Linked DNA regions of Tamandua tetradactyla. The protein of the gene in region 2 interacts with the protein of the main gene of each other region in a pairwise test. Links are inferred from orthologs where the notes say so. Each region holds a gene or a part of one and is shown on either strand. Other genes may lie near its edges.

Region 1 (7,887 bases), on a different chromosome or scaffold from region 2:
GCATGCAGGTTGGCAATACAGAGGTAAAATACTTTTTCTTATTAAAATTCTAAAGAAAAAGAATAAATAAAAATTGGGGGAAATGTTTCATTTTAAAAGAATGTGCATCAGTACCATATATTTTAGATTTATTTGGATGTTAAAGTGCAATTCTAAAATATTGTCATCGAAGCCAGATTTCTCTTTTTTTGTTTTTAACTAGCTGGCTTCCCAAGCTTTGGGCATGAGAATCCTCAATCTTCATTGGAGTAATTATTCCCTGGAGCATGCACACAGAGTTGTCCTTCTGAGAAGCAACTCTATCGAAAAACCAACACCTGCAGTATGGAAGATCTATTCTTGTGCCTCTGACTTGGGGCTCTCATTTTGGGTCCACCCCATTTCTCAACTCTTGGTATCCCTGGCTCCTTCGGTTACATCTCAGTTTCAGCTACTTCTAGAGATGCAGGGATTGCTCTTTCCTTTTGATGTTCTCCCTAGGACCAACCATACTAAAGTTTCAGGTTGTCAAATGGCCTATATGTTAAGTCAGACCACCCTGAAAAAAACCTTCTGAATTTGGTGAAAACCAACCCAACCATTTCAGTGATTTATCAACAGAAAGACAGGAACCTGATTTTATTCATACGGATTAATATTAGAGTGGGAAAGGGTGGCCAGTAAGTCGGTGGCTCTTGCAGGATGTGAGAAATGACCAAGGCCTTATGACGGCTGAGAGCAATTTGGAGAAAAGAAGCAGATCTGTGAACATGTTAGGATGTAGAACTGATAAGTTAAATGACTTATTACATGTGAGAAGGAAAGAGAGAGAAGAGAAACATTAAGCATTAATTCAACCCAAAGATCTGAGAGGCAGATTTTATTAACCTCCTTCTACAGATTAGGAAATCAGTTAAGGTAGGACTTGGTGCTATTTCTGCACATGAGATAGGCTGAACAATTTGCTGTAAATACAGTCAAGTATTGTGAGAAAATCCAGGACAAGAAAAGAGTGCATGAGGTTTTAGCATAATAAGGCCATGGTTATTATTAGACAGCTTGAATAAGATCAAGGGCACATTATTAGGAGTACACATTTTTCTTGAATACCAGAGGAGTTGGTCCCCAGAAGGAAATTAATCTTGAAGGTGATGAATTATGTTAAGTTTGGGGCACTTTGGACTCCAAACAGCAATATCTCATCCTGGGGCTCTTACCCCATGAAATAGTCCAGAACTCCATTCTGATAGGGGGGTCACCAAAAGCAAAATTGAGGAGAAATCTTTTAACATTCAGTGGATTCTCCAGGAGAGAAAACGTGCAAGACTGAAGAATGGGTTGGTGGGCTGGGTCTTCAGTGTTCTTTGAAGGGGAGGTAGATTTTAAGGAAAATGGGGGTGGAGCCCTGAAGGACAGAAGGAGAGGCTCTTAGCAGGAAGGGGACAAGGATCCTTAAGGAAAACTGGAGCTTCTGCGTGGGAGACCCTGTTAAGGCTTAAACAATTAGGGCTCACATTAACCAAATCAAGGGCAGAAATCTCAGTGTCTTTGTCACTCCATATGGCCTTGGTAAGGCAGGTTAGTTAGGGAACTGCGGGGGGGGGGGGGAAGTCACCCCAAAATCAAACTTCCTTTTGATGCACACACACCTAGGTTCACCCCAACCCCCAAACCCGCCCCCTCACACCTAGCCCTCACTGAGGTTGGCACCTGAAAAGAACCAATGAAAAATGCAGCTCTTCAATCCATTATTAGCATAGCCACGGGGGGGGAAGGGCCCCTCCAAGTCCTTACAATACTGGGATCCTGTGCTGGTTTGAATTTGTAGACCCCAGAAAAGCCATGTCCTTTAATCCTCATTCAGTATTGATGGATGAGAGTTTTTTAATTAACCATGGAGATGTGACCCACCCAATTGTGGGTGGTAACTTCTGATTAGATGATTTCCATGAAAAAGTGTCTCCGCCTATTCAAGGTGGGGTTGCTTACTGGAACCCTTTGAGAGGGAACCATTTTGGAAAGAGCCATGGAGCAGAGTCCATTCCGCCCGAGACCTTTAGAGATGAAAAAGGAATATGTCCCCAGGGGAGCTTCAGGAAAAAAGAAGCCTGGAGAGACAGCTAGCAGACATTGCTATGTGCCTTTTCAGTTGAGAGATAAACCCTGAACATCATTGGCCTTTCTTGAGTGAACATAAGCTCTTGTTGGTGCCATATTTTGGACATTTTTATACACTTGCTTTAACTGAGATATTTTCATGGCCTTAGAACTGTAACTTTGCAATTCAATAAATTTCCCCCTTTTAAAGCCGTTCCATTTCTGGCATATTGCATTCCGGCAGCTTGCAAACTAGAACAGATCCTGACCTCAGAGGGCTTTTCCTCCTTAGGAGAACGCCAGTGCTCATCTTCCTTTGAGTGTGTACTTTCACTACACATTAGGGTTTTGAGCTGTACACACTAGCTAGTCTTTGGATTCTTTGGCCGTACACACTGACTAGTCCTCAAATTCTTTCCTGTGACTGAGACAATGAACCTTCACAGCATCAGCCCCTGGTGGAGAGATCTTAACTTCTCCGAGAATTCCTGGGGCTCTCCTGCATCAAGCTTATTAAACTATTTGGCCATACACACACCGACTAGTCCTTGAGTTCTTTCCTAAGATTGAGTTAAGAAAACTCACAGCACTAGCCCTTCGTCTCAATTTCTCTGAGAACTTGTGGGGCTGTCTCACATCACCAGGCTTCTCCCTTGGCCCTCCAAAGAAGAGTTCCTGGGTACAGCAGTGGTGGGGAGGCCGCTAAAGGTGACCCTATTCCAGGGCCATTGGATGGGCAGTGTCACCAACTGGCAGTCAAGTCCCAGGTGGAAGCAACTGTAAGGCTGAGCCCCCTTCTAGAGGCACTGTGAACACTGGAGGAGTCCATGAGTGGAGCTTGGGGATGGGGGGTGGGGGACTTCCATCCTTATTGTGTGAGTTATAGTTGGTGAGGTCTTAGGAGCCTGACAAGTTCACAATTCTACAGCACTGGTTCTTTCCATGGTATGTGACTAATGTGTCAGTACTGGGTATGTATGGGTGCTATTTATGAGGCAGGAAAGGCAAACAAATAGTTTTGGTGTTATAATGAACTGCTCCGACACTTGAACCCAGTATTTCTGAAATTTCTGTGCCTAGAACCTGAGATAAGCTGCTATTGTAAAGCTACTTGTAATTTTCCAATTCATGTTTGGAAACAAGACTGCTCTTTTGTTTTAGAGAATCTCTTAACACTTGAGTACATTTCTTCATTTGGCAAGAGTAAAGACCAACTCTTCTAGTGCAATGGTGGACTGAGACATTAATAATACTGAACTCTCATAATAATGTCAACAGTTCTCTTTCAAGAGGAATTCCAATTCATTTTACATATTATATAATATTATAAATTCATTTTTAATTTATTGGGTTTAGCCTGAAATGGGACAGGTAGGGGTGGGTGGAGTGGAAACTCTCTTCTGTTGAGAAGAGTGGAGAGAGGGTCTTGGGAGTGGGGGGATTTCCTTTGAGAAACAATGGGCAAGAGGCCATAGATGCTGTATATCTAATAGTCACTTCAAAGTCTTCTCTGCCTTCTAGTTTTCCTGTTATTCACAATCTTTCAGTAACATCCTGGTGATAGCTACGATTTGGGGAATCAAGGGAGGGGTGTGTGTCCACACTTGGGTCTTGCTTCCACCGTGTAGGAATTGCCTGCAAACCCCAGGCCAGGGCAGTGGGAGCACAGGTGAGAGGCTGGTGGTTCTGGAGCTCTAGGGGGTGGTTTACATCAGACTTTGGGAACAGTCATTAGGGGGAGAAGGAGGCTGTGCTGCAGAGTGCCTGTGTCAGGTGAACCTTGAGCGTGTATGGAAGTCTAGCCTTAACGGAATCAGATGCTGAGAAACAAGTGCAATCAGGGGTGGATTTGTGGGAGATAAAAACCTTTGTGGAGTCCCAGAATTTTGGGGGGAAGAAGACTGAATCCTGAGATGCTGGATTTTCTATCATCAGGTAGGATGAGGACTTGCTCTATTGTTGTCTAGAAGTGTGACAGAGGTTACAGAGGGAGGGTAATGTGATGGGATCCCTGTTGCCCCAGAGAGGAGGTTTCTTTTCATCCTTACAGTTCTTTGAAGCTTTTCTTGAGAAGATCTGCTCTGGTCCTCCCTCCCTGAGCATGTAGGTTTCCTCTGGCTCCCACTGCACTTTGTAGACCCCTTTATCATGGAGGTCAACTATCCTGAACTGTATAATATATAATGATATTATATAGAGAATATATATTGCACAATCACATAATTGTAATTATCTGTGTGCATGTCTCTTCCAGGAAAAGGACCCCAGTTCAAATTCCAGCTCTGCCACTAGCTAGCTCTGTGGTCTCAGGCAAAATACTCAATTCCTCAGTACCCTTATTTATAAACTGGGCATAAGACTTGCCATTCCACGCGGTTGCTAAGAGAAATGAAGGTAACAATGCATGTAAATTTCCCGCGCACACAGTATACAAAATAAAGAGCGCCTCGCACGGTGAAAAGCTCTCCATTAGCCTGGCCTTTTATTCTACACACTCAAATACTTACTGGTCACCTATAGCTCCAGGCCTCCGCGCCACTCCGCGGCGCAGCAGAAACTCTCATTGCGGCCTGTGTGCCTCGTCCCGCAGGTCTGCTCAGGACTGGCCCGGCTGAGGAGAAAGCCCGGCCCATCGCCCATCAGACCTCATTAACTACTGGGCCTGGATTGGCCCGCACGCACTCTTGTTGCTAGGCTCGGGGGTGTGTGGTGCAAATTCGCGCGTGCGCACCCTGGGGACCAAGGCGCCTTTCCGGTCGGGCGGGAGGAGGTGACGTCAGGAGCCGTGGCGGGCGGGGCCCTCCTGTAGCCGTGGGGACGCTTTATCTGTGGGCCTTCGGATCGCGTCACAAGTTGGCGACTGCGCTGTGGCCGTGGTGGCCGAGGCGGCGAAGGCGGCAGCGGCGGCGACAGCTCTGGGGTTTGCGTCTCGGGGTGTGTCGGCCGCCGCTGCTGCTCAGGCCTGGTATGTACAAATGGCTGATTAGGATTCTCGGCACCATTTTTCGTTTTTGTGAGCGGCCGGTGCCCCCTGCCCGGGCCCTTCTGAAGAGGCGGCGCTCTAACAGGTGAGAGGGGAGGGCGCGGAGCGCTCACCCGGCCTAGCTGTGCCCCCCACCCCCTGCGTGCTGGATCACACCGGTCCTGCCGGGGTGGCCCTGCTCACCGGTTGCTCGGCTGGGGCCGATGATGTGGTCGCTGGGTCCGGGTGACGCAGCTGCTCCCTCCACCTTGTGGGGATGCAGCTCCAGTGAAGGAAGCAGCTAGGCAAAAACGTATCTTTGGAGTGACCGGAGGTGATAGGATGTATGATGTTCTTGTTAAGAGTCCAAGCTGGTTGCTCACGTTCAATGGGGCTTTGTCATATTTTGCCGCCCTTAGATGGAAAAGTAAAAATTTAAGGAATACGGTCTTTGTTGTGGCTCGCTATTTACAAAGCACTTTACCAAGTGTCAGCTTAGCAATAAGAGCAGTTAAGGGGAAGTCAGATTAGTAGCTTGCCCCCAAAGCTGTTTTGATTGCAAGCACTGTTCTTCTAGAACCTAGACAGCAGCTGTTTTGTTCTGAAACAGCTGCCAGTGTGTGTTTGGGGTATGGGGGGAGTGGTTCTGTGCTTTAAAGAATTAGTGTATGAGAAAAAGAAGTAGGTATGTCGTTCCTTTAAAAAGATCACTGTACTATAAACTTCAGTTAAAATTTAGTTAAAACTAAAAGCGGTTCTTATTTAGAATCTATCCCTTAAGTTTTGTTTTATGTTCTGGTGTCTGTTTCTTTACCTAAAAATTGATCTAGAGAATGAAATACTGTATAAATGCTATACCAGCTAGTGGTGTTCAGCTGCTAATTTCATTTCTTTTTTAAAGCCTCAGGATCAAGGAATGTGGAAAAAAGGGTAGTTTCTGGGAGCTGAGAGAAGATGATGATACACAAGTCTGATAATGCAGGTCATTGATGAAATTGGTTATTGGCTAAATTCCATCACAGGGCATTGTTTCAACCTACTCCTTTCTACCTTTCTGCAGAGTTGATGTGAGGATCATTTAAGATCATATTGTAAAGTGCCTAACACGGTGCTTAATGTATGTAAGGGTAATGTTTGTTTACCTCCAGGGCCTTGTGGAGTGTCTTGTGCATGGTAGGCACTTAATACATGTCTTTTCTTAATAAAGGAAAGTTAATGTGATCAGCTTTTCTCCTTTTTCACATGTGGATCCCTGCTAGTTAGGAGAACAGTGGTTTGGATATCAAAACCCTTTCTTTACAACACTTTCTTCACTTCCTTAATTTAAAACCGTATTTCTCAAATAAGACATTTTTCAGTCAAAATGAAATCATGTTGGGATTTGAAAGTTATGAACTGAATGTTGTCCTCCTAGAATCTCGTTCTGTTTATTTCTTTGTAAATAATAATCAGTAATAAGGATTCAGAATGATGATCAGTAGTACACCAGGAGTCTTTAACATTCTTGAAATATATGTCCAAAACTTTTCTGAATTCACATTTTTTTATAACTGCTGTAATACACTTTCCATGGTATAAATGCAGTTAAATATAACACCTTTTATGTCTAATAAGTATCTTTCAAGTTTGCTTATATTCATCACCAAACTTAGAAGATAGTTTTCTTTGGGGTCATCTTTCAAAAGGAAATTGTTTTTTGTTTTTTGTTTTGTTTTTTAATAATTTTGGAGAGAAAAAGGAAATACTAGTTCTAGGCACTTACCTAGGTTCATTTACTTGTGACTTAAATCCACTTTCACATTTGTACCTCAGCCAGATTACAGGTCTGTTATATGATAGGGAGTTTGGGATCTCTCTCAAACAAACTTCCATTGTGTTAAATCTTCAAGTGGTAAAAGCCTACTATAAAGTAACATTCTCTTTTAAAACCTCGGTTGAAGATCATTTTATGACAAAGTGAATGGAAAAGTGTCTGTTGTATGAATAGTAAGTTTACTTATAAAAATGGATGTTTATATATATACATATGTACGTATATATTTTTCTTCCTTTTTCTCTCTCCCCTCAGCACTCTGTTTTCCACAGTGGACACTGATGAAATACCAGCCAAAAGACCAAGATTAGGTATTGAATATTAATTTTAAAAATTATGTTTTTTTAATAGGAAAAATAAATGCATGGAACAAAATTTAAAAGGTAAAAGTATATTCAGTAAAAAGTGTTTCTTATTCTTTTCCTACTCAGATATCTTTTCTATATGTAACCACTTGTACCAGGGACTTGTGTATCTTTCCAAATAAATAAGCCTATGTGTTGAATGTTCCTTTTTTTTTAAATCTTGTGACTTATTTTCTTTTGAGCAATATAAAGGGTTTGGGTTTTTTTCTTTAAATTTTTTTTGTTATTAAATGTAACGTATATACAAAGAAAAGAAAGAAAAAGCAATGATTTTCCAAGTACACTTCAACAAGTAGATACAGAAAAGATTTCAGAGTTTGTTGTGAGTTACCGTTCCACTATTTCAGATTTTTCCTTCTCGCTGCTCCAGAACACTGGAGGCTAAAATAAATATAGTTTTTCTTTTTTGTGAAAAATAACATATGTACAAAACAATAAATTTCAAAGCACATTACAACAATTAGTTCTAGAACAGATGTCAGAGTTTGGAGTGGGTTACAATTTCACCATTTTAGGTTTTTGCTTCTAGCTGCTCTAAGATACTGGAGACTAAAAGAAATATTAATATAATGATTCAGCAATGATACTCACTTGTTAAACCCTACCTTTTCTCTATAACTCCACTATCACCTGTGATCTTTCTCCCACTCTTTAGAAGTGTGTAGGCTATT
Region 2 (7,381 bases):
AGCAAGGAAACCAAAGCTCAGAGAGGTTAAGAAATCTGCTCAAGGTCACAGAGCTAATAAGTAGCAAAGCCTGGCCTCAGTGCAGGTTTATCTGGCTCCAAGGCCTGTGCTCTATTCAACGTGCTCCACTGTTAGGAACTGGAGGAGCAAGGAAAGGGTCACATGAAGAAGGGCAGATGGAAATGAAGTGGGTTAGCCTGGAGAAGAGAACGTTAAGGAGAAACCAAAGGATCAAGTAGAGCAGGACTTAAACTCTTTGTCTGCTATGGGGGGGGGGGGGGGTGGATAGAGAGTGGGGTCCTAGATGAGCAGCAAACAGATCTAAGATCAACAGAAGGAACATATTTCTAACAGCCCTGTTCAAAGACTCAGCAACCTGTTAGGTGAGACAGCGAGACACCTGAAGATGGCTGAGGCTAGGAGCACTAGTCAGGTGTGCCACAGAGGGTCATGGAATGGTCATCTGCGTGGGCACTGGATTCAAATATGTGCATTTGAATCCTGGCTCCGTGACTTAGAAGCTGTGTGACCCAGACCCTTGGCCTCTCAGAGGCCACTTGTTCTTCTGTAAAGTAGGGGTAATAACACCTGTTTCCTAGGGTTGTTTTGTGGATCTAGGGGTACAAGGAGATTGAAGCACTCGACACAATACCTGCCAGGTGCTCAGCCCTGGTACCTGGTAGCCAGTGGTACTCTTAGGAGATCAGCTTCCAGACCATCAGGGGCTTCTTCCCTTAGACTTCATGAATCTGAGTCTAGTCCTTTCTAAGCTTCTCGTAGCGTCGTTCCTCCTGCTCAGGACTTGCTTCAAGACAGGGAAGGATGGGGCTCAGGGAGAGACTGCTCTGGGAGTAAAGGGCATGGGGTGGCTCCTTCTCACCTGGCACCACTGCCCACTATGGCGAGCAAAGAGCAGCATCTATCACTTAGCTGGGCACAAGGAGACACTCAAACAACATGAGCCAGCACTGCCCCAGCTTCTGACAGGCTCTGACTTCAGAACGTCCCACTTAGGTGCCTGGGAGCACAGCATCAACAGCTTTCCACCACTGGCTTGCCAGATTTAGCAAAGAAACACACAAAACATCAGTGCAATTTGAATTTCAAAAAACAGTATTTCACATGGGCCATGCCTATACTAAAAATTTATCCTTATTGATCAGAAATTTAAATTCAACTGGATGGCCTGTATTTTATCTGGCAACGCTAGCCCCTCAGGACCGCCCAACTCTTAATGTTTCTGACTGGTAGCTACTAGGAGCCTGGGAAAAGGGCCAGCCTTTTCATTCTGGACATCAGAAATCAGCACAGCTCACACCTGTTGCAGGACCTGAAGTACCAGGTACATAAAATTGCTTTAAAAAGGTTCAAATGGAATAAGCCCCAACCCCTGCTCTGATGGACAGAAATAGCCAGGGCAGAAAGTCAGCCTAACTAGCCTGACACCCAGGAAAAGACATGGCTTTGGAGTCTGACACTGTGGGTTCGAATCCAACATTTAATCTCTGTGTGCCCTTGGCAAGTTACTTATCCTCTCTTAACTACTTTGCTCATCTGTAAAAAGATGACAATGCCAGTTATGCTGGCACACCACAGACAGACCATAAATGACAGTTCTCCTGTCTTCTCCATTCCTGCAGCTCTGTCCCTGGCCTGGTTCTCTCTCATCACTTTTTCTATGCAAAGCTCTAATGGACAAAATTTTGAATACAGGCAGGCATATAACTTCTGCACTAACTCCACATCACAGGAACAAAGTGGGTACTGACCCCAAGAAATCTCCCAATTAAAGATTAAACCTAGCCCCCTTCCCTAGCCCCAGCCGATGACTGGAAGCCTCAAGGGAACTTGCAGAAGCAAGTATGATTAAGAAGGGAAATCTGCCCGGTGAAACCACAGCACAGGCCATGCCTAATCATCCAACATGGATTACGTGTCGTTCTGGAACATTCGTCCTTTGGGTTCCTTTAGTCTTTAGTCTGAGACAGGGGGTGCTAAATACGTATCGTCACTCGCGAGTTAAAGGAGAGCATGGATACGGTCTCAAAGGAGGCTGCGCCAAGACCTAAGACGGACAGGTTTGGCCCAAGGGGCACCCCTTCCAGTCCAAAGTTAACAGCCCCTGGGTCAGAAACGGCCAAGACGCGGGTCGGAGAGAAAAAGAAGAACCTCCGCTGACCAACGTGATCGAGCGGAGGACGCGGCACAGGAAGTGGGGACACCCCAGGAAGCGCCACCGCATTTTCCCAACTGCACTAACTGGGGCTTTCTGCTTTTAAGTAATTTTTATGGGCGGCCGTGTTTCTTAATTACGAAATAAGAAAGCTGGGAAGCCGCTGGTCTGGAAACATCTGCTTTCCATTGCCTGATTCAGTAAACAAAGGCGGAGCCAAGCAGCCCACCCCAAAGCCTTCACGTGAGAGGTCTCGCCCCTCTCGTCCCTCTCCCCGGCGGGGGGGAGGTGTCCTCCTCGTGGCCCCGCCCCCGGCTCCTGGCCCCGCCCCTGCCCCGCCCCCAGGCCATCCTCCGCCTCGAGGGAATGCGGGGCGCGCAGGCCTCAGCAGTCCCCACAGAGCGGGCTGACTCGGAAAGGGGCGACCTTTTTCCTCCCCACCGGCCTCCAGCTCCCCTTCTCGGTCTGCCCTGCTGACCTTTCCGTGGCCCCTTCCCCCTGCGAGGGTCTGTCTGGCCACCCCTGGCTCACCTGGGGTCGGAACTTGCCCGTTCTCCCCGCCTCTCTCCCAGACGCTCGTCCTCTCACGTCTGCGCTCCTCGGCCCCGGCAGACGCCCCAAACGCCCACGGACCCGCCCTCGCCCGCCGCCGCCACCCCGCCCGCCGCGCCCATCGCCACCTTCAGGTTCACGGCCGGCAGCTCCATCCCGCCCGCCGCCGAGGACACCTGCGCGGCCGCCGCCGGGAGCTGTCGGGCTCGGAACTCGAGAAACGAACTTGCCGGCCCCGCCCGGCCCGCGGTGGCGGCTCCAACCCCAACTCGGCGCCCGGGCCACGTGGGGCGGCGCGAGCGGGCCACGTGACTGAGGCCCGGTTGCCAGGAGACGGCGTCGGGCTTCGCGTGCCCATCTCCACGCCTCTGGCTCCGGCCTCCGCCCCGGGAAACTGACGAGTATGCAGCAGGTGGTGGCACCTGGGCTGATGGGACCACTTGCAGCCAGGAGGCCCGGGGGAACTTGCAGGTGTCTCATCCCCGAAGTCACCTCTCTGCCCCTTCAGCACATCAAGGTGGAGACTTTACAGTACCGACCTCGTAGGTTTTTTGCAAAGATAAATGAGTTAATAAGGTAAGGGCCGTATACAAGCTTTTGTTATCAGCACACAAGGGGCCCACTGCTGGAGCCCACTTAAGTCAACGAGCCTACCAAAAGTTTTAGAAAAATCTAACTGGAAACCCAGCAAGAAGAAGAAGAGTTGAGGAGAAAGAGATCCTATGAAACACTGTCTGCACCTCAAGCATGCAGAAAGCAAGTGAAGAAAGGAAGAGTCACCACTGCCAATAGACGGAAACAGCCCATCAGCTGACGAGTGAATAAACAAAGTGTGGTATATACTGATGGTGGAATACTATGTAACTGTAAGAAGGAATGAAGTTATGCTATATGCAATAATATGGATGAGCCTTGAGGACATTGTGTCGAGGGAAACAAAAGGACAAATACTGTATGGTCTCACAAATAGGAATTAACTATAACGAGCAAACTGTGAGAGTGATTTGAGAGCATAGGTTATCAGGAGATAGGAAGTGGGTAGAGACTGCTTAAGGATACAGAATGTTTAACGAAGTTGATTGTAAAGGTTCGGAAATGGATAGCACAATACTGTGTGAAGGTAGCACAGTATTGTGTGATTAACAAAGCTGAGTGTGATTATGGTTGAAAGAGGAAGGCTAGGGTCATCTGTGTCACCAAAAGGAAACCTAGAGGATGAAAACAGGCACTATAACTTAATGAAATTTAGAGTGGACGATGACAATGGTTAATTGTAAAAATATGAGAAAGGTTTATTTTTTATGAACTAGAACAAATGTGTCCTTATTACAAGGTGTTAATAATGGGGTGGTATATAAGAAAAAATACAATTACTGCAAACTGAAGTCTATAGTTGATACAACCATTGTAGTGTCCCACGTAGGGGGGAGGGCAGTGAATTCACCTGCCAAGTTGGCGTAGAGAGAGAGAGGCCACATGTGAGTGACAAAAGAGGTTCTCTGCAGGTGACTCAAGCATAATTTTAAGTAGGCTTAGCCTATCCTTTGCAGGAATAAGTTTCATAGGGGCGAACCCCAAGATCGAGGGCTAATCCTGTTGATTTGGTTGTCCCCACTGCTTGCGAGACTATCAGAAATTCCCCACATGGGGAAGTTAAGTATTTCCTCCTAGATAGTTATTCTGTGGCACTGTAAAATACATGCTCACAACAACCCTATGGTGTAGATTCTGTCCTTACCTTCTTTACAGTGACATTAAGAGACTTTTAAGTGGCTTGCCCGAAGTCACATCACTGAAACCGGCTTGAGAACCCAGGGGTCTGGTCCTAGAGCCAGCACGTTTAACCATCGAGCTACACTGGTTGCATCGCAGGGAAATACGCCCCTGGGCTGAGCTAGGAAAGGAGGGAAGACAGGCGCTGATGAGGCATAGGGCCAGGTCTGTGGGGACACTCTGCAGCTCGCACACTGAGGCTGCATTCATTCGGGCCAGCTGGGGCCAGAGGCATGGGGTGGGGGTGGCAGGGGGCAGGAGCAAGACCCAGCTGGCTGGGGGCAGTAGGAGAGAGTGGGCACAGAGACACAAAGGAAAATGGAGCTGTCCATTTTCAGAGGAGCCGGGGGCCCTGCCACAACCTCTTCCTGACCATGGAAGGACAAACAGACCCCCACAAAGCACATTCTGCAAGGCTTTGGGGGCATTTTTTAGTCAATATACTTTTGGAATTCAAGTCTATGTTTTCCACATCCCTCACTAATTCTGTCTGGCTCAGCTGAAAATAAAAAAGTACCTGTTTATCTTTGTACCCTCAAAGAATCTGACACCTAGAATAGGTTCATTCATTCTCTCTCTCCCTTTTTTTCCATTCATTTAGCAAATGGTGATTGTATATCTACTTGGGTAAATGCCCAGGGGTAGAATGGCTGGATCTTATGGCAGGTGTGCATTTAACTCTTTGAAAAACTACTAAACTGTTTTCCAAGGTGGTTGTGCTCCCCCAGTTTACTTTTCTTCATAGTACTCATCAATCTCTGGAGTTATTGCCCTATCAATGTATTTATGTATTGCCTGTCCTTCCAAACCAGACTCTAAAGCTCCAGGTGGACCCTCGATCTCAGCACTTAGCCCTGTGCCCAGCATACGGCAGCTGCTCAGGAAAACAAAGAAACCACAGTTGAACCACCAATTATCTTGCATGGCTTCCTGCTCGGTCCACACAGTTGGCTAAGCAAAAGGTGGCTGAAGCAGCTACAGCCTTTCCTTTCCTGTGTTTTTGTGTGTGTGTGTGTGTGTGTGTGTGTGTGTGTGTGTCCTTTAGATAAACTATTTGGGGGAGCTCTGTCTTGCCTGCTTCCAGCAGTAACCTGGGGCAAGTTGTCAAAGGCTGAGCCTCAGGTTAAGTTGGGGAGGTGTGCTGGTTTGAAAGGATGTATATACATTTTACCCTAGAAAAAACCATGTTTTAATCCTAATCCCATTTTGTAAAGGCAACCGTTTCTTCTAGTCCCTATTCAGTACTGTATGTTTGAAAATTTAATTAGATTATCTCTCTGGAGATGTGACTCAGTCAAGAGTGGTTGTTAAACTGGATTAGGTGGAGATGCGTCTCCACCCATTCTAGGTGGGTCTTGATTACTTTACTGGAATCCTGTAAAAGAGAGATTCAGAGAGAGCAGGGAAGGACAACAGAACACCACAGACCCACAAAGTAGAGAGTCCACCAGCCAGCAAATTTGGGAGATGAAGAGGGAAAACGCCTCCCGGGGAGCTGGAGAGGAAGCTAGCAGATAACGCCGTGTGTGCCATGTGCCTTTCCACTTGACAGAGAAACCCTGAACTTCATCAGCCTGCTTGAATCAAGGTATCTTTCTCTGGATGTCTTAGATTGGACATTTCTATAGACTTGCTTTAATTGGGATCTTTCTGTGGCCTAAAAAATGTTAACCTGCAATTTATTAAATTCCCCTTTTTAAAAGCCTTTGTTTCTGGTATATTGCATTCCAGCAGCTAGCAAACTAGAATAGGCAGGGTCACATATGATCATTTGCTTAGCCAACCTAGCTCGGCTCTCCGAGTGCTCAGCAAGCAGTGCTGACCAGCTGCTGTATGTACCCCGCAGTGGCTTTCTGCATCCCTCATGTATCACTGTCATAGGCAGGTATTGTGGGGGCGGGCCTGGGGGTAACTGCCTGTTGAATCGAAGGGTCAGGGAAAGGTGGGACTGAAAAGGGGAAGGAAGATGCCTGTATTAGTTTCCTGAAGCTGTCATGATGAATAACTAGAAACTGGGTGACTTATAACAACAGAAGTTTCTTCTCTTACAGTTCCAGAGACCAGAAGTTCGAAGTCAAGGTGTAGGGTGGGCAGGGCCGGGCTGCTTCCAGAGGCTTTAGGGGAGAATCCTTCCTGTCTTCCACCAGCCTCCCCCTCCCCAGCTTCTGGTAGCTGCTGGCATTCCTTGGCTTGTGGCTGCATCGTTCCTATCTCTGCCTCCACCATCGCACGCCCCTCTCTGTGTCTCAATTCTTCTTTCTTTCTTCTGTAAGGACGTTGCCATTGGATTTAGGGCCCCCTAAGCCCAGGATGACCTCATTTTGAGATCCCTGACTTAATTACATCTGCAAAGATCCTTTTTCCAGAGACAGTCATGTTCACAGGTTCCAGGAGTTAGAATGTGGACGTGCTGCGGTGGCCCCAGCAGTTCTGACGTGGGTCCCCACCCGCTTTGCATCCCAAGCAGGTACATCAAACTGAAGGACATGGAGCAGAGACAACAACCCAAATGCTGTTGGAGATGCACACACACCTGCGCGGAGGCACAGCCACTCGCCAACAGCATACTGGAGAAGGGCCCGGGAAGGCCCCTTGGTGGCTCCAGGATTGCGGCTGGAATTCTTTCTAGAAGACTTTTCTCCAGTGTTTCCTTTCAACCATCACAAACTTGCCAGCTCTATGTGTTTTGGCCAAAGGCCTGGCAGAGTTGAGGATGGCCTGGACGTTTGGACCACCAGTGTTACTTTTTGGATCTGTGCCCATAACCCTCTCTCTCCTCTCTGGAGGGTCAGCTGCAGTGAGATGGGGGCAGGAGAAGGAACCCAATGGAACCTTGTAGGGTCACAGTTGAGGCAGCTCAGAGGCTCTCTTGGGCTCCCAGAC

Evidence for each region.
Region 1: the proteins of AGTRAP (region 2) and SENP2 interact in binary tests that used the Homo sapiens proteins (3 or more experiments, as listed by UniProt). The two-hybrid records come from large-scale screens. The link is inferred for Tamandua tetradactyla from reciprocal best matches to the Homo sapiens genes AGTRAP and SENP2.

The regions. Positions count from the first base shown.
Region 1 is NC_135336.1:4,250,400-4,258,286, forward strand, and holds the start of SENP2 (sentrin-specific protease 2), read left to right. Parts: upstream 1-4,872; 5' UTR 4,873-5,043; coding exon 5,044-5,144; intron 5,145-5,939; exon of another isoform or gene 5,940-6,105; intron 6,106-7,106; coding exon 7,107-7,162; intron 7,163-7,887. UniProt on the Homo sapiens protein: Protease that catalyzes two essential functions in the SUMO pathway.
Region 2 is NC_135328.1:213,743,428-213,750,808, forward strand, and holds the start of AGTRAP (type-1 angiotensin II receptor-associated protein), read right to left. Parts: upstream 3,005-7,381; 5' UTR 2,881-3,004; coding exon 2,854-2,880; intron 1-2,853. UniProt on the Homo sapiens protein: Appears to be a negative regulator of type-1 angiotensin II receptor-mediated signaling by regulating receptor internalization as well as mechanism of receptor desensitization such as phosphorylation.